Linked DNA regions of Rattus norvegicus. The protein of the gene in region 3 binds, or shares a complex with, the protein of the main gene of each other region. Links are inferred from orthologs where the notes say so. Each region holds a gene or a part of one and is shown on either strand. Other genes may lie near its edges. The genes, in order: Nme1, Anp32a and Trex1.

What was found.
Region 1: Trex1 (region 3) and Nme1 share a complex: the UniProt entries of both Homo sapiens proteins name them as parts of the SET complex. The link is inferred for Rattus norvegicus from reciprocal best matches to the Homo sapiens genes TREX1 and NME1.
Region 2: Trex1 (region 3) and Anp32a share a complex: the UniProt entries of both Homo sapiens proteins name them as parts of the SET complex. The link is inferred for Rattus norvegicus from reciprocal best matches to the Homo sapiens genes TREX1 and ANP32A.

The regions. Positions count from the first base shown.
Region 1 is NC_086028.1:79,402,546-79,408,305, forward strand, and holds the end of Nme1 (nucleoside diphosphate kinase A), read right to left. Parts: intron 4,799-5,760; coding exon 4,697-4,798; intron 2,488-4,696; coding exon 2,375-2,487; intron 1,680-2,374; coding exon 1,562-1,679; 3' UTR 1,395-1,561; downstream 1-1,394. UniProt on the Homo sapiens protein: Major role in the synthesis of nucleoside triphosphates other than ATP. The ATP gamma phosphate is transferred to the NDP beta phosphate via a ping-pong mechanism, using a phosphorylated active-site intermediate.
Region 2 is NC_086026.1:71,751,314-71,757,137, reverse strand, and holds part of Anp32a (acidic leucine-rich nuclear phosphoprotein 32 family member A), read right to left. Parts: intron 3,657-5,824; coding exon 3,507-3,656; intron 3,350-3,506; coding exon 3,227-3,349; intron 1,357-3,226; coding exon 1,164-1,356; intron 185-1,163; coding exon 87-184; intron 1-86. UniProt on the Homo sapiens protein: Multifunctional protein that is involved in the regulation of many processes including tumor suppression, apoptosis, cell cycle progression or transcription. Promotes apoptosis by favouring the activation of caspase-9/CASP9 and allowing apoptosome formation.
Region 3 is NC_086026.1:118,583,191-118,588,504, reverse strand, and holds Trex1 (three-prime repair exonuclease 1), read left to right. Parts: upstream 1-2,122; 5' UTR 2,123-2,140; intron 2,141-2,421; 5' UTR 2,422-2,428; coding exon 2,429-3,379; 3' UTR 3,380-3,423; downstream 3,424-5,314. Other genes in the region: Atrip (ATR-interacting protein), read left to right, coding at 111-202, 608-688, 800-1,049, 1,442-1,509; Shisa5 (protein shisa-5 isoform 1 precursor), read right to left, coding at 4,604-4,662, 4,808-5,020, 5,199-5,314. UniProt on the Homo sapiens protein: Major cellular 3'-to-5' DNA exonuclease which digests single-stranded DNA (ssDNA) and double-stranded DNA (dsDNA) with mismatched 3' termini. Prevents cell-intrinsic initiation of autoimmunity.

The DNA.
Region 1 (5,760 bases), on a different chromosome or scaffold from region 3:
ATCAGCCTGGCAATGACTGGCATTTGCCCTCACTCTGGGGCCATTTCCTCATTCTCCCTCTGAAGCACTGGCTCTCATATGCCCAGCTAGCTGGTTGGTTGCCTTTCGAGAGGATCTCGCTGCATAGCCCTGGCTGCACTGTACCAGTCTGACCTCAAGCTGCTGCAATCCTGAGTCTTCCTCCTAAATGCTAGGAATACATGCATGTGCCACCACACTCTCCATTTTGTTTTGGAGTTACCAAATGGCAATTGTCCTGAGAGTCTGCAAATTTCACCGAACTTACCTATCCAGTGAAGTCATTCAGCCCTTTGTTAGGTCACATGCCTGCCTACCCTATAGTGGGAGGACCCTTCATGGATGGCAGCTGAGGGTCCCAGGCCTACAGAAGACACAGGTTTTCTGATCTGACGGTAGCTACAACTTCTCATGATCCCTTTTTTTTTTTTTTTTTTTTTTTTGGTTGTTTTGTTTTTCAAGACAGGGTTTCTCTGTCTTTCCCTGGTTGTCCTGGAACTCACTCTGTAGACCAGGCTGGCCTCAAACTCAGAGAACTACCTACCCCTGCCTCCTGAGTGCTGGGATTAAAGACATGAGCCACCACCCAGCTTTTTGTTTTTTTAGGACATGTTCTTGTATAGCCCAGGCTGGCCTCAAACTTATAGCTGAGGACAACTTTGAACTTCTGATCCTACCTCCTGTGTGCTGGATTGCAGTAGTACCCTACTGTTATGTGGTGCTGGGGACAGAACCCAAGGCTTCATGTATGTTGGGAAAGACTCTCCCTTCCAACTAAGTTATATCCCCAACCCGGGTGGGAGGTGAGGGTGGGGGGATTGTTGTCTGTTTTTTTGAGCCAGGGTCTCACTATCTAGACTAGGCTGACCTTGAACTCACACAGACTTGAGTGCCTCTGCCTCCTGAGTGCTGGGATTAAAAGGCATGCTCCACTACACCCAGCTATTTTGATTTGTTTCGTTTGACAAGGTTTCACTATATAGTCCAAGCTGGCCTGGAACTCATAATCCTCCTGCCTCTGTCTCCTGAGTGTTGGAATTACAGACCTGGGCCAACAGGCTTCGGTTGGCATCTTTATTTCTGATGAATCCCTGCTCCTAGAACAGTTTTAACATCTTCACACATCCTCACAGAAACTGCTGTCTGACTGGATGCCAGGAGAGAACAGGATGCAGGGGATGGGAAGGGAAATAGGCAAAGAAACGCCTCCTCGTCCCAGGGCGCTGGCTCAAACCACAAGGACAATGAAAGGAATCTCTGTGTGCACGCGAGGCCAATATAAGTAATTTGCATAGCATTTACATTCTGTCCGCTTGGGTTACCCAGAAGCCTGAAGAGGAGGTAAGCAGGGCAGAGCAATACAGCAATACAAAAGTACAGACAAAACACTTTAATCTACCAGTGGCACTTAACACTGCACAGGGAGTCACAGCGCCCAGAGGCTTCTTCCAGTTCAGAGAAGTTCCAGAAAGATCTAGAGCTGCTGCTCCCCTGCCTGTGAGATCAAGGGTCAGTAGACAGAAAAAAAGCAGGGGCCCTGCTGTCACTCATAGATCCAGTTCTGCGCACAGCTCTTGTAGTCCACCAGCTCCTCAGGCTGAAACCACAAACTGATCTCCTTCTCCGCACTCTCCACAGAATCGCTGCCATGAATGATGTTCCTGGGTGGAGAGAGGGAATGGTGTTACCAAACGGGAAGAATGAACTTGCCCACAGCCCCTTGCACTCGGCTTTTGATAGCCGATGCTGGCCAGGCTCTCTGTTCAAGAAAGGCATAGCCACTGGGACCAAGCAAATATGGGGGACCCTCCCTCCAAGTCAGCTTCCACCTTCAGAGGCAAGAAGACAAAATTCATGTTTAAAAGTGACTGAAACCTGGTGCAGTGGCCAGTGCCTGTATTCCCAGCATTTGAGAGAGGGGTGGAGGTTGGGAGTATCAGGAATTCAAGAATAGCCTCAGCTACATAGCAATTTGGAGGCCAGCTAGCCTACTTGGGACATTGTCTCGAGGAAACAACTAAACTAAAGGCTGAAGAGACGGCTCAGTTTTAAGAGCACTGGCTGGTCCTCTAGAGAACCTGGGTTTAGTTCCCAGGATTCACACGGGGCTCACAACTATCTGTAACTCCAGTTCAGGGGACCCCAGTTCCTTGGGCACCAGTCATGAAAGTACACATCATGCAGGCAAACTATCCATACACATACAGAAAAGTGAAAAATAAAGATGAACTTTAAAGGCTAAAATAAAATGAATTGACCCGCAGATGATATCATGTTCATCTCTAGACTCAGAAGCCCAAATTCTTGTGGCAACTAGCTTAGATTTGGGAAAGGGGTGAAAAGCATCGATTCTTACCTGCCAACTTGAATGCAAAAGTCTCCTCGTATGGTCCCAGGCTTAGAGTCTGCGGGGTTGGTCTCTCCAAGCATCACCCGGCCTGTCTTCACAACATTCAGTCCCTCCCAGACCTCCAAGGACAACAGAAGACACAGTCAAGGAAGAAAAACTCTCTCAGTAGAAAACCTGGTAGCTGGTAATTCAAAACAAAAGGCTCTAGGACTCCCTCATTCAACTAGACAAACAGAATGCCTACTTATGCCAGTACTAAGGATGCTGGTCACCTGGCCCTACTCCTAAGATCAATTCAGATCCATCCAGGTGGCAGCCAGCAACCTTCTTAATGGCACTGAGGTTATCCCACCACCCCAGAGGTAGAGGCAGGTGGATCTCAGTAGGGCCAGCCTGATCTACATAGAGTATTCCAAGACACAGCCAGGGCTTCGTAGAAAGACCCTATGTTGGAAACCCCAAGATATCAGAGATGCCAGTGTCGTGGGATACCTGCCAAGGAACGCTGCACATGGGGTGTAGAACCAGCTCAAGACAGAAGTGTGTCCCAGTCAATACGGAAAGGAGCAGGAGATCAAAGCGCACGTTGGCATCAGACACGGCGATGCAGAGTGTGGAGTTTGTCCTGCTGGGTTTAGGTCTTGCTTTGGTTCAGGATTGCCTCACTTTCCTCCTTTTTGGAATGGCAATGTATGTTCTATGTCATGGTATGTGGAAAGGATGTGACATGCCTTTTCATTTTTATTTGACGGGTGACAGGAGGCCGCCTTGAGTCTCAGAAGAGACTCTGAACTTAGGACTTTGAAACACTGCTGATACTGATGGACTGTGGGGACTTTTGAAGTTGAACTGAATGCATTTTTGCATTAAGATTGGGCTACAGGTCTATGAGGCCAGAAAGTGAAATGTGGTAGTTCAAATAAAAATGGCCCTAAAGGCTTATACAGATTTGAATGCTTAAGCACCAGGGAGTGGCACTTCTTGAGAAGGATTAGTAGATATGGCCTTGTTGGAAGAAGTGTGTCACTTGGGGTGCGCTTTGAGTTTTAAAAGCCCAAGCCAGACCCAATGGCTCCCTTTTCCTGGGGCCTTCAGATCTGGATGTAGAACTCTCAATTTCTCCAGCACCATGTCTGCCTGCACACAGACGGGCTTGCCTGCCATGATGATAATGGACTAACCCACTGGAACTGTAGACAGCTCTAATGAGATGCTTTCCTTTATAAGAGCTGCCTTGGCCATGGTGTCTTTTCACAGTAAGAGGACAGTGACTAAGACTGACCCTGTCTCAAAAGACCAGAACAAATAAATAAAAAGCTAAGTCTGGTACCTCCCATACCTTCCCAGCCCTGGTAACATAACAGCAAACCCTGACATCATGTGCTCCCTGAGCACTTCTCACCCCATCCTCCTCTTACCATCCAATCCAACCTTCTTTCTGTACTTTAAAAAGCAAAGTTGTGTCTGGTGCGATGAGCCAATACACTCTCAGTGGAAGAATCAAAAGCTCCAGGGCAGTGTGGACTACCTGAGGCCAGCCTAAACTACATGCTAAATTTCAGGACACAAGGCTAGCCTACATATTAAGACCCTGTCTCAATAAATCATTTTTAGAAAGAAAGAATGAAAACAGATACCCATTTTGTCTCAAAACTGTATCTAAAGTATGTAGGAAGGGGCTTGACATAGAGATACCAAGCTCATTCTTGCTTAAGTCAGTGGTTCTCAACCTTCCTGATGCTGCAACCCTTTAAAATATAGTTTGCATGGGGTTGGGGATTTAGCTCAGTGGTAGAGCGCTTGCCTAGCAAGCGCAAGGCCCTGGGTTCGGTCCCCAGCTCCGAAAAAGAGAAAAAAAAAATATATATATATATAGTTTGCATATGGTGACCCCAACCATAAGATTATTTTTGTTGCTATTTCATAACTATAACTTTGCTACTATTATGAATCATAATGTAAATATCTATGTTTTCTAATCATCTTAGGCGACCCCTGTAAAAGGTCATTCGACCCCAAAGGGGTCTTGACCCACAGGTTAAGAATCAATCAATTAAATGATATTGAAATAAACCAAATCCCCTGTGTTCCATGGGAATTCAGCCAAGCCAGTCTCTCCTGATTTCTCCCAGTCCTGGGTCTCAGCTTGGCAGGCAAATGCACATTTTCTTTGGTGGATCAGACAGACAATTCTCATCCTAACTGGATATCCCATCAGCCTGTTTCCTCTACAATAAAGAGGACCTGGCACCCAAGCAGGAAATGCAACACTCACTCTGCTCTACTCCCAAATGAGTCACTCCATGGACATTGCACAGTCTCACTCACCATAGCAACCACCGGTCCTGAGTGCATGTACTTCACCAGGCCAGAAAAGAAGGGGCGGTCCTTCAGGTCAATGTAGTGCTCCTTGAGAAGATCCTCTGAAGCCTGTTACAGAACAGACAGTGAGAGCTGGCCCCAGGCCCCTAAGAACCAGAAGGCTGGTTTCTTCCCCATATCCCTCCCGCTGTTCGGAACATGAGCTCGCAGCTAGTTAGGTGATCAGATATAACCAGATTCATCTTCCACATGGGGAACAGTGACAGCCACAAAGCGATTCTGAATCTCTAATGCAGCAGGATAAAATAACTTAGAGCTGAACCCAGCCTGCTGAGCGTAGCACTGAACCTGCAATCCCAACACTGGAAGGCAAACACCGGATGTCCACAAGTGTTGAGACCAGCCTAGGCTACAGAGCCATACTCTATCGCTAAAAACAACCCACTGTAAGGAAGGAAAGGAGAGGAATGGTAGGGTGACTTTTTGTTCCCAGAAAGCAGTTCAATCAAAATATAAGATGGAAACAGGAAGACAGTCTCTGTATTAGACAAGTAGTAACTGAACCTGGCCATCTCCAAGGACATTTATTCAAAGGTTAAAGGTCCAATACAGTGACCGTATAATTTCCAGAGGTCCCTACCTATGAACTACCTAAAAGTACATGACATATAGCAACAAATAGTTTTCTAAAGAATGAATTAGGGGCTGGGGATTTAGCTCAGTGGTAGAGCGCTTACCTAGGAAGCGCAAGGCCCTGGGTTCGGTCCCCAGCTCCGAAAAAAAGAACCAAAAAAAAAAAAAAAAAAAAAAAATGAATTAGATCAGCTGCCCATCAAGAGGAACCAGGTCCAATTCCCAGCATCCACATGGCAGCTTACAACCATCTGTAACCAGTTCTGAGGGACCCAATGACTTCCACAGGCACCAGGTACAAAGTGGTACACAGACATGCATGCAGGCAAATGCATAAAATGTCTAAAATATTCATATACATAAAACTATTTTAAAGAGAATGAATCAGAGCAGGATGTGGTACTTTGTGCCTGTGATTGCAGCACTCTGGAGTCAGG
Region 2 (5,824 bases), about 47 Mb from region 3:
TTCCTGGGTGGCTGTGACTGATAATGAGGCAGGCGCCTGCCAGGTCAGAGGTGAGACTACACAAATGCCCAGCCCCTCCGCCTTACCTCTTCCTCTCCACTCACGTCCTCTTCCTCCCCTTCTTCCTCCTCATCCTCTTCCTCTTCATCTTCCACTAGCTGGGCGTATTCATCATACTCCTCCTCTGTGGGGGGTGGGTGGCAAGAAGGCAACATGGACTGAGATGACTGAGGGTCCATGTCTGCCCCACCCCCACCAAAGCTCAGAACCAGACTGCTCTAATGCACAGAGGTGTTGTTCGCATGGCCAAATGCACAAAAAGTGACTCATGTTATAAGCCTTCTTTCAAAGTCAGATACGTGGAAGATGCTACGGGTAAGGCCACAGAGACACAGAGGTTCGAGCAAGAAGCTCCGGGGCCCCAGGGAAGCAAAGAGGCTAAATCAATTAATCCCTCTTCAGAGAAATGCCTTGTTCAAGGCCACAAGTGGTCTGTGTAGGGGAGCAGGGGCTTGAAGCTGGCCCGGGGCTGTACCACAGAGCCCTGCCACATATCACAGAACTACACTGTGTCCAAAAGGGGGACACTTACAATCTATTGGGAAAAGGATCTCCACCAAGGCTGACAATATATGAACATATATGACCATCTCATAGAAGACCCCAGACCAACAAGGACAACAGAATCTTATGTCTGCACTGCCTGGCACTGTCTGAGTGCTTAGCTTTGCTTGGGCTAGAAAGCCCCACAGTAGAGCCGCAGGGTGCTCACTGAAAGGAACCTGCAGAGACAACGGGATGGGGCAGGGAGGAGGGGCCCTTAGCCTCCCCTTCCTTCCCAAGGGATCTGACATTGACTATAGCCCCCAACTTCCCTTGGCTTCTGAAGGGCCCAATGCTGGCCAGTGGTCCTACACGCTGCAACCACCAGGGGGCGCCACAGCCTCTCCAGCAGAAGACCCTGGACTCCCGGAAGGAGAAAAGGTCCTGGGGAGCCCATCCCCACAACTGACCTCTTCTCCTCCCAAGCCTGGGGTTACACTATAGAGATATACACATTGTCCTTCCTTTGGGGACTTGAGGCCACCAGGTCCATTTCCCTCTATGGTTTGCCAGCTTGTCCAGAGTAAGCTCCTGTATCCAGGATCCCCATTGCCACCTACCATCCTCATCTTCCTCGTCGTCATCCTCCACGTAGCCCTCAACATCAGAGTCAGGGGCCTCCTTGTTGTCTCTGTCATAGCCATCGAGGTACATGACCTGGGGCAGGAGCTTGAACACGTTTTCTCGGTAGGCATTCAGGTTGGTCACCTCACAGTTAAACAGGTCTAGGCTCTTGAGATTCTCTAACTTCTTCTGCAAGTGGAGAAAGGTAGTCAACAGTGAGGGCGAACCATGGAAAAGGGGAAGGAAGGGGAAACGCCCTAGGAAAGGCACCACAGACAGCCCAAGAATTCTGAGAGAAGGAAGCCAGGTATGCCCTTTTGCATGTGTACATGGTGTGCGCGTGTGTACAAGTGTGCACACACACTCACTAGTAGAAGTTAGGTCAACTCTGGTTATCTTTATTGTTTTACACACACATGCATGTATGTATGTACATATGCATGTATGTATGCAGTGACAGAGTCTCTCACTGAATCTGGAACTCATCTTTTTGATTAGACTGCTGGCCCAGCCCCTGGGACCCACATGAGGACAACATTCTAGCACTGGGGAGTTCAGGGGTGCATTGCCATTCCCAGCTGTGACTTGGGCTCTGAGGATTTGAACTCATATCCTCATGTCTGCACAGCAAGTGCTTTACCCACTGAGGTCAGACCAGTCCTGGCCAATGCTATCATGTTGGATAGGTAAGAAAATGGAGGCCCAGAAAGCAAGGAGGCACCCAGCTAGCAAAGAAATGCAGCTGAATCCTGACCTCCCATCTCATTCAAAGACCCATCCCATACTGAGTCCCTGTTGCCATGGGGACCAGGTCAAACTAGGAAGAGTAGGCCCCTCAGAGAAAGTCTTGATTCTCTACCACTTTTATACATAGACCCAGGCGATTCTTAGTGGTGGGGCCAAAGGCAGGGAGGTGGCCCAGCATCTGGGAGGACAGAGGACATCATATCAATAACCAGGATGGGAAGCCACAGAAACGTATGTGATCTGTGTGCAGAGAAGTGGGAATGTGTGCGTGCCTGCTCCCCAGTGGTGACCCTGCCACACTGCCTCAGGAAGACTTTAGACTCAGCTGTCTACACACTCCCAACACACATGAGTCAGAACTCTGAAGAGGTTTCTCTTTGGAACAAGGTGATGATGCCAGGGCTTCCAGGCAGAAAAAAAAATCAGCCCTGCCTTCGCATAGGTCAGTGGGAGACCTGGAAAGAACTTTCTGTGGTCAGTGTGTTTTATTAGCAAGACAGACAGACAGGTGACGTCTGAGCTTGAAGCAACAATGTCAACTTGGTGTTAGGACCACCTGACACCAGGACTTCAGGCTGCTCGGAGACTGATGGGTGCTTTGTGGACTTGCCCAGCCTCCTTTGCCGTGTCCCCAGTCCTTCCTCAAGTCAAGCTTTGTGACTTTTCTCTAGTTCCAAAGGATTCTTTTTGTCACATTTTCAGGCTGTTTCCTTAAAAACCAGAAGAATACTGCGCCTAGGACGTGGTGGCAGAGATTGTCATTCTGACTAAAATTTCCCCTTCTAACTGGAAAATGAGTAAAGCAAGAACCAGAAGTGTCTTCCATCCTGTCTCTGAGGCACTGGTCACCAATAGACACTCTTCTCTCCATATGCAAATGAAGGTTTGCACTGGGCTCCCACCAAGCATAGCCTCACACTCCAGGAGCCTTGTGTGTCAGCACTAATTCCTAACCCACTAGCCTAAGCCTTGGGAGAAAGGATGACCGATCTACCTCCAGAGTCAGCTTACATCTAGGTTTGCTCCTCTCTTCTCAAAGGGTGGCAAGCCAGTCAGGCTGTGAGCCCAGACAGCACAACCCAGGCTGAAGGGCACACACCAGACCAGGCTCCACTCCCTGCCCCACACTGGGTGCCCATTCTGGCCGGGTGACCTTGGTCCAACTGAATTCTCCATGGACTAAGCAGAAACAGTGCCCAACTAGCTCACAGCACTGGATGAGAGTCGAAGAAAAACAGTGATAAATAAATGTAACTGTGAAAGTTGGGCTCCCCACCACCCCTGAGGAAAGGGGAGGACCCCAGGGACTCACCAGCGGCTCTATTGTGCTGAGATCTTTTATTTTGTTGCCACTTAAATTTAGATGCTTAAGGTTCGGACATTTCTCTGCCAATACTTCCAGGTCCCCTGAGATTCTGTTTTCGCTTAATTCAAGCTGTGTGAGGCAGGAAGGGAAAGTGCGTTTAACACCGGGCTCAGGGCCACTCTCCCCAGAGAACGTGCCAGCAAGTTGGAGCAAGCACCTGGCCTTGCCTTAATTATGCTCCCCGGAGCACAAAGCCTCCCCCACCCCAGCCTCCCAGGCTGTTTACCTTCTTGAGTTTGTTTAACTTTGGTAAGTTGGAAATGGAGGTGAGGCCTACGTTGATTGTACTTAGGAATTCCAGTTCTTCAAACTCATCCGTGAGGCCTTCGATTTTGCCTTCAATTGACCGACAGTTATCCAGGACCAGCTCTTTCACCTAGAAAGGGAAGAGTGGCGTGAGCAGACAGAGAGAAGGGGTCAAAGAGGTGCTCCAACTCCCAACGGCTATCAATTGCTTTATCCAGATCAGCTCTGCCTCAGAGCAAAGGACGATCAACCTCTCCCCGTCATCCCACCATTAGCAAGACCCAGACAGAACATTGGATATGCACACCTCTATCCCTGCCTACAAATGTCCTGGCCAGACACCCACTGGAGGCAGACTACTCACTTCTCACACTCAGCACCCCACTTGCTTCCCGCCCCCCAAGTACTCATGGATTACCCAGAACACACTAATGCTTGCTCTCCTCCTTCCTCTGGCCTCAGCCTGCCCACTGAGGCCTGGCCCACCATGGCAGCAGCATAGCGGAGAACCCTCTTCAAAGTCCTTGTGCCTAGACAGTACTGTCCAGGAGACGGTTCCACCAGAAAGAAAATATTTGGTGCTGTCCAAGAACAGAGCCACAAGCCTCGTGTGGCCCTGAACATTTGGTGTTATTTTAATCTTAAGTACACAGAGACACAAGGCACAGTTACTGGACCACATGGTTCATGGATGTTTTCCTTGGCCCCTGCCTCGTGGAAGAGGAGAAAACCTGCATGCCTAAGACAGCAACACTGAAATTCGAGGGTCCCTACCCACTCCCTCTCCAAGGGCAGGGAGGGTGGGGATGGAAGGTGTGACTCTGTTTCTGACAGAGCAGAAAGAGACAGTGAAAGTCACTCTGGTGAGGAGGTTCTAAACCAAACTCACTGCAGGATGATATAGGCCAGGGGAAAGCCAGTGGGTCTCAGGGAAGTCACAAACAGCCGAAGGGATTGGCAGGCAGACCAAGGTACCCCAAGGCAAGCCAGGTGCTTGGGGAACCCAGTCTCTTGGTGATACCAGGAACCCTTCCTGTGGTACGGAACGGAGGGTTGAGCAGAGGTGCTCACGTATGCTGAGCAAACATCTGCTCCCTTTATTTCACGTTTTATTTTTTTTTCTATCCCTTTTTATTTTGACACAGGCTTTCTCTGAATTGCCTAAGTTGGACCCGGACTTCCTTTAAAAGGTCTGCAATTTGTAACCCTCTTGACTTGCTTCTGAGTTAGGATTAGAGATCTGTGGCACCAGGACTGGCTGAAAGGAGTCTAAAAAGAGAAGACTGACCCCTCCCAATGGCACTTGTCCCAGCGCACCCTTGCACCCCAGGACTCTGCCTCAGAACCAGCTTCCACCCTGCAGCCTCTGGCAAGCATTGAAAATACTGACTGGCTATGCTGTACCCTCAATCTATGGGATTCACCACAGGCCCACGTGGCTCACAGGGTTGCCACTGCCCTCCTCCCCCGCCACGCTGCATAAAGATCCCACGAGCCAGTCCCAGTCCCCACCCACGGCTGCACTTCTCCTCTAAGAGGACCTTGCTGGAGATTCCTCTGGTCTTCCAGCGACTGCTTGTATTCAGCCACTTTGCAGGGAAGAGGTACAACAGGGTCACTCCAGGCTAATGGTCAGGGCAGAGACTATGGGGTACCTGGGTCTCAGAGCCCTGCCTCCTTCTTTCCTGTGGATACAGTGAGCACTCCAGGCAGGACAGTCTAGCAGGGATTCACAGTTCTACCTGAAGGGAAGAAATCCCGGAACACCACCTTCCTCCCTGAATCACAAGCTCTAAGCCTCTGCCCTGGCCGTGCTCCATCTTCTTGATGGATCTAAGAGGCCACGGGTCCAGGTCAAGCCCTCACTGGTTAGACTGTAAGAACAAAACCTTGGAGCCCTTCCCCCTCAGGCAAGAAAACGGTAGAGAGGAGGCCTCGCTGTGGGCAGCAAGCAAATGGAGGGAGTGGCTGTGGGGCCAAGGGACACAGTATGAGGTGTTGGACTCCTGTGCTCCAGTCTTCTTCCTTAACTGGTTTTCCAGGGAATCCCTGCTTCCAACAGCAGATCCCCGTATATCCTCAGAGGCTGCAGACATTTGTGGTTTTCCTAGAGTGGTAACAGCCTCTCCCCTTAATGCCATTAGCAAGTGTTGTAAGGGGACCTGGGATGAAGAAAGTAATGATGGACCATCAAGGGAATTTCTTGTTGCCTCTATGGGGGATGCTCAGGGGGTGGGGGTGGGGGGCACGGCACCTCCCAACTCCTGCTAGCAGAACAAGCTGCCTTGCATTTCTACA
Region 3 (5,314 bases):
GTGAGAGGGAAGGACTGGGGCAGGTTCAGAGCCCCTCAAGGGCTTCTGTACTTGTACCCCAGGCTACAATGAAAAGGGGGACCCTGAGTGAGGTCTGGAATCCTTTTCAGAAGGCTGCCTTCTCCTGAGGCTGTACATGTACATTACATCAAGGCCTGACAAAACGGCCTCAGAGACACAGTGGCTTCAGCTGGAACAAGAGGTAAGACTCTCAGACTCTGCTCACCCTTCACCCTTCAGGAGCCCAGGGCCTCCTCTCCACTTGTGGGAAAATAGGAGCTACAATTCATTTTGGTCAGTGTGTCAAACAGCAGAGGGTAACATTTAGGGGTTCCTCACACAGATGCAATACAAGTGCATCCTGGGTTGCAGTGGTGCTCAGCAGAGTTGCCTGATCATGCTGCCTGGGGCTTGGGGCCTGATCCTGGTCCTGGAAGCAGTGAGCTGTTGGTGAGATTCAGGTCTGAGAGCCTGAGGCTACCACTACTTGTACCCCACCTGTGCAGGCAAGCAGTTGTTGAAGTAGCTAGAGCACCTTAGGAATGCCCGCAGAAGCCTATGATAACTGGGTTCCACACAGGGTGAACACCATGTCTTCTTGTTCCAGGTAGTGTGGCTCTTGGCCAAGCTGAGTGTGCAGAGCCCTTCCCCCGCTGGCATTGTTTCTGACTGTCAGTGCAATGTAGAGGTGAGTGGCCGGAGGCTAACATCATGGCGGCTCAGTTGGTGAAGGGCAGTCCTGCTTCCCTTGAAGTGTCGAGGTGAGCAAGACCTCAGTCTGTGCCCTCTCTTCCCCTAGGCAGTCAGAGCACTCACTGTGATGTTGCACAGGCAATGGCTGACTGTGCGGCGGGCAGGGGGTCCAAGGACCCACCAGCAGAAGCAGACGGTCCGCTGTCTGCGGGACACTGTGCTGCTGCTGCACAGCCTATCTCAGAAGGACAAGCTCTTTACTGTGCACTGTGTCGAGGTCCTGCATCAGTACGACCAGGTGATGCCAGGGGTCAGCATGCTGATTCGAGCCCTTCCTGATGTGACTGACTGTGAAGGTAAGCTATCAAGAGACTGTCACAGCCTTCATATGCCTCTGCCTGAGGCTGATGAAAAAGTCAGACTCCTTTGCTGGTCTCCTTTCCTTCCCTGAGTCTGCCCTTGCCACCAGAGCCATTCCTGGCACTGCAGACATGGCCTTCCTGCTCTAGGTCTGAGTATGATAGGTTCCCATTTGATTATGTCTATTGAATCGGCCTAGCTGAGCCATGGTTTTTCCACAAAGATCTGTCCCGATTGCTTTTGTATCACTTTTGCTCACAGTAGCTGAGGGAGCAAAGCCTACACATGGAAGGGACTGGTTAGTTCCTGTGCCTCTAGGGAGGATGGGTAGGCCTCCAGGCCCCAGCACCATCAAGTTAATCTCAGAACCCTCTTCCTTTTGGCTCAGAGGCTGCCCTGGATGACCTCTGTGCTGCAGAGACAGATTTGGAAGACGCCGAGATGGACTGTAGCTGAGGGCCTGAGCATCCAGCCACAAGGTGGCACTAGCCCCACCGTCTTTGCCACATCCACTGATTAAAACTGCACTTCCTGCTGAGAACCGGCTTTGTTTCCTGAGTCTTGATTTGTGGGGCTGAGAGGGAGGGACAGAGCAGACTAGGAACTGCTGGATTAGGTGACTCTCCTGCTGGAGTTGAGATGGTCCTGATCAGCCCTGAGGAAAAACCCTGCCCCTCTTCCGGAATTACCCTGAGTCATAGCTTTGGGCCAGGTCCATGGGAGAACAAACTTGTGTAGCTGACAGGAAGGCCTGGATCAAGGCCTGGGGGAAAGGAAAGGAAAGGAAAGGCAGAGACTCACGGGCTTGTTTGAATCCTAGAGACAACCTAGGGAGTTGTCATTGTGGGAGCAGCAGTGATAGTCTACTTTGTTAGCCGGCAGGATCACAGATATGGATCTAGGAAGGCCTTTGGGGTGCTTGGGGAGGGAGGGAGGAGCTTTAGCACGAGGGCCAGGCCTGGCCGGCTAGCTAGCAGGGCGGGCCCTGTTCAGAAGGCAGGCCTCTGGGTGGACCCAGGCAGTTTTACTTCCTGAGCCAGTGCTGCCAGCCACAGAATCAGCGGAGTGCCTTGTTGCCTGCTTATCGGTAAGTGTGGGGGGCCTCTAGGGTATGGGGTAAGGCAGAAGAGGACAGGTTTCCCTCACCCTGAAGGTGGTCAGCACTAGGAGAAGAGCCTCCCTCAAAAGGATAGTAGTGTAGTATCCATCTCACTAGGAGAACAACCCTACTATTAGCTTCTCGTGGCCCTGGACAGCACCTGACTGAAGAGAAGGGCTGTGGGTGTTGGTGTTTCTGCCCACACCACACCCAACCCCAGCCCACTTTAGACCTTTCTGATGCTACTCATTACCCCATCTCCTCCCCAGGCTCAGCATGGGCTCACAGGCCCTGCCCCACGGTCACATGCAGACCCTCATCTTCTTAGACCTGGAAGCCACTGGCCTGCCTTACTCTCAGCCCAAAATCACAGAGCTGTGCCTGCTGGCTGTCCACAGACATGCCCTGGAGAACTCCTCCATGTCTGAGGGGCAGCCACCTCCGGTGCCCAAACCACCCCGTGTGGTGGACAAGCTCTCTCTCTGCATTGCTCCAGGGAAACCCTGCAGTTCTGGGGCCAGTGAGATCACAGGTCTGACCACAGCTGGGCTGGAAGCACACGGGCGTCAACGCTTCAATGACAACCTGGCCACCCTGCTCCAAGTCTTCCTGCAGCGCCAGCCACAGCCCTGCTGCCTTGTGGCCCACAACGGTGACCGCTACGACTTTCCTCTGCTCCAGGCAGAGCTTGCTTCGCTGAGCGTTATCAGTCCTCTGGACGGTACCTTCTGTGTGGATAGCATCGCTGCCCTGAAGACCTTGGAGCAAGCCAGCAGCCCCTCAGAGCATGGTCCGAGGAAAAGCTATAGCCTGGGTAGTATCTACACCCGCCTGTACGGGCAAGCACCAACAGACTCACACACTGCTGAAGGCGACGTTCTAGCCCTGCTCAGCATCTGTCAGTGGAAGCCACAGGCCCTACTGCAGTGGGTGGACAAACACGCCCGGCCCTTTAGCACCATCAAGCCCATGTATGGCATGGCAGCTACTACTGGAACGGCCAGCCCAAGGCTGTGTGCTGCCACAACCTCCTCACCCCTGGCCACAGCCAACTTAAGTCCCAGCAATGGCAGGAGCAGGGGCAAGCGACCTACGAGTCCTCCTCCAGAGAACGTCCCAGAAGCCCCATCACGGGAGGGGCTGCTGGCCCCACTGGGCCTGCTGACCTTCCTGACCTTGGCAATAGCCGTTCTGTATGGAATCTTCCTGGCCTCACCTGGGCAGTAAGTCAAGAGGGAAGATATGATTAATAAAGACTACCATAGCACTGACTGCTTGTCGCTTCTGCTTCTCAGCCTGGGCCTTTGGCCACAGTCAGGCCCTAGGGCTGAGGTACACCTCTTTCTCCTGCTCTCTTAGCAGGAGAACCTGCTAGGCTAATTAACACAGGGAAGAAGCAAGTTCAGGAGGTAGACAGAAAGAGTTTTTGGTAGACAGCCAAGGCCAGCCGCCCAGGCTATAAAGAAAGGGGAAGTGGTCCAAATATTCATTTATTATAAACGAGGGTGCGGAGTTTGAATGCTCAGAAACACCAATTAACACAAAACTAAAACAGCCAGTGAAACAGGAACCAACAGGGAATATGGAGGCATTCACATCTGGTCCAGAGCTACCATCCAGGCTCTCCACCCCCACCCTTGGTCCAGATAACCCCTGGCCCTGGTGTCCCTGCTACTGGAACAAACTGGACTGTAGTACAGGAGTCAGGTATTCTATGAAGCTGGTGTCAAGGGAAATGGACTGTCAGAGGTCAGGTTTCCTGTTCTCCAGGAACCAAGGATTTCAACCTCACCAATTATCACACATCTGGATACAAAAAACAGGCAATATGTTTGGCTAATCGTAAAAAGACACTGTAGGGAGAAACCAGAGTGTGTAGTAGACAGAGGCCCCTGGCCTGGAAGCCACTGGAGCCTGAATAGTGAATACATGTGGCCCTCTACATAGTCCCAGGAAAGACAGTGGGACCGTCCAGACAGACAGCTGATGGAGACGGACGGGGCTCTCTGCCTAGTGTGCTCTGACATCAGTCACTGACCCACTGCCACTGAGGCCCCTTGTTCTCTGTCCAGCTAAATGCAGCCAAGCCCTGGGAATAAACCCATAGCAGCAGCTAGCTGGCTACTCCCCAAAGCAGGACATGGACCCACAAAAAGCTTGCTCTCCTATGTGTGGCAGGCTATGGCTGGTCACCTTGGGGTGAAGCGGGAAATACCTCCTACCCTATTGTTTTTAATTTACTTGAAATTTCAGAAATTACAATTTCAAGTGAGGAAGAAAACAGATTGGTCCCAACCAGCACTGGTAAGATTTGTGCCTACCTGGTCATCAGCAGAGGAAGCCACATGTCTAGACAAGGCACACGCACCACAGACAGCAGTAAAGAACTCTGCATAGCACTCACACACACATGACATAATCAAATGTTAGCCAAAGAGGCTGGGGGCAGGCTCAGGGAACTGCCTTTGGGGGATCCATGTAGGCCGGGTTGTATGGAGGCTGGCTGGCTCCTGAAAGGAGAGAGGACACAGGTTAGCTGTGGGGACATTGGGCTGCAGGGCAAGCGGGCAGGCAAGCTAGGAGGAAAGGACCCTAGGAGCAGAGGCATGAGTTGGGGGATGGTGCAGGGTTAACCGAATCCACAGTGGTACTCACCAGCCAACGTCTCATGATAGGCTGGTGGCCCTGTGGACTGGGCCAGGTAGGGTGGAGGGTACTGCGTTGGGTAGGGTGCTGCTGGCATTCCTGGCTGGGGGGGCATGGGATGGTAGCCCTGGTATGTTGGTCCAGGATAGCTGGGGGCCACAGGTTGAGGCTGAGGGTAAGCGGTGTGAACCACGGTAGTAGTTGTGGTGTTGGACACGACAGCTGCAAGGAGAATCCGGATTAGTCAAAACCTTAGAGCTCCCTAGGCCAGAAGAAGCCAGGTCTGCCCCTCCCGCTTAGTCAAAACAGGATGCTGGTCATCAACCCTTTCCCGCTCTGGGATCTGCATGCTGGCACAGGAAGGGACACCGGTGGAGCCGGTGGGTAAGGGTAAGCTTACGTCGTGGGCGGCAGCACATCTTATATAGACAGCAGCAGGAGCAGGTAAAGCACACAATGATGGTAGCGATAAACACCACGAAGACGGTCAGGCCGATGGCCACGGTCGCTCCGAAC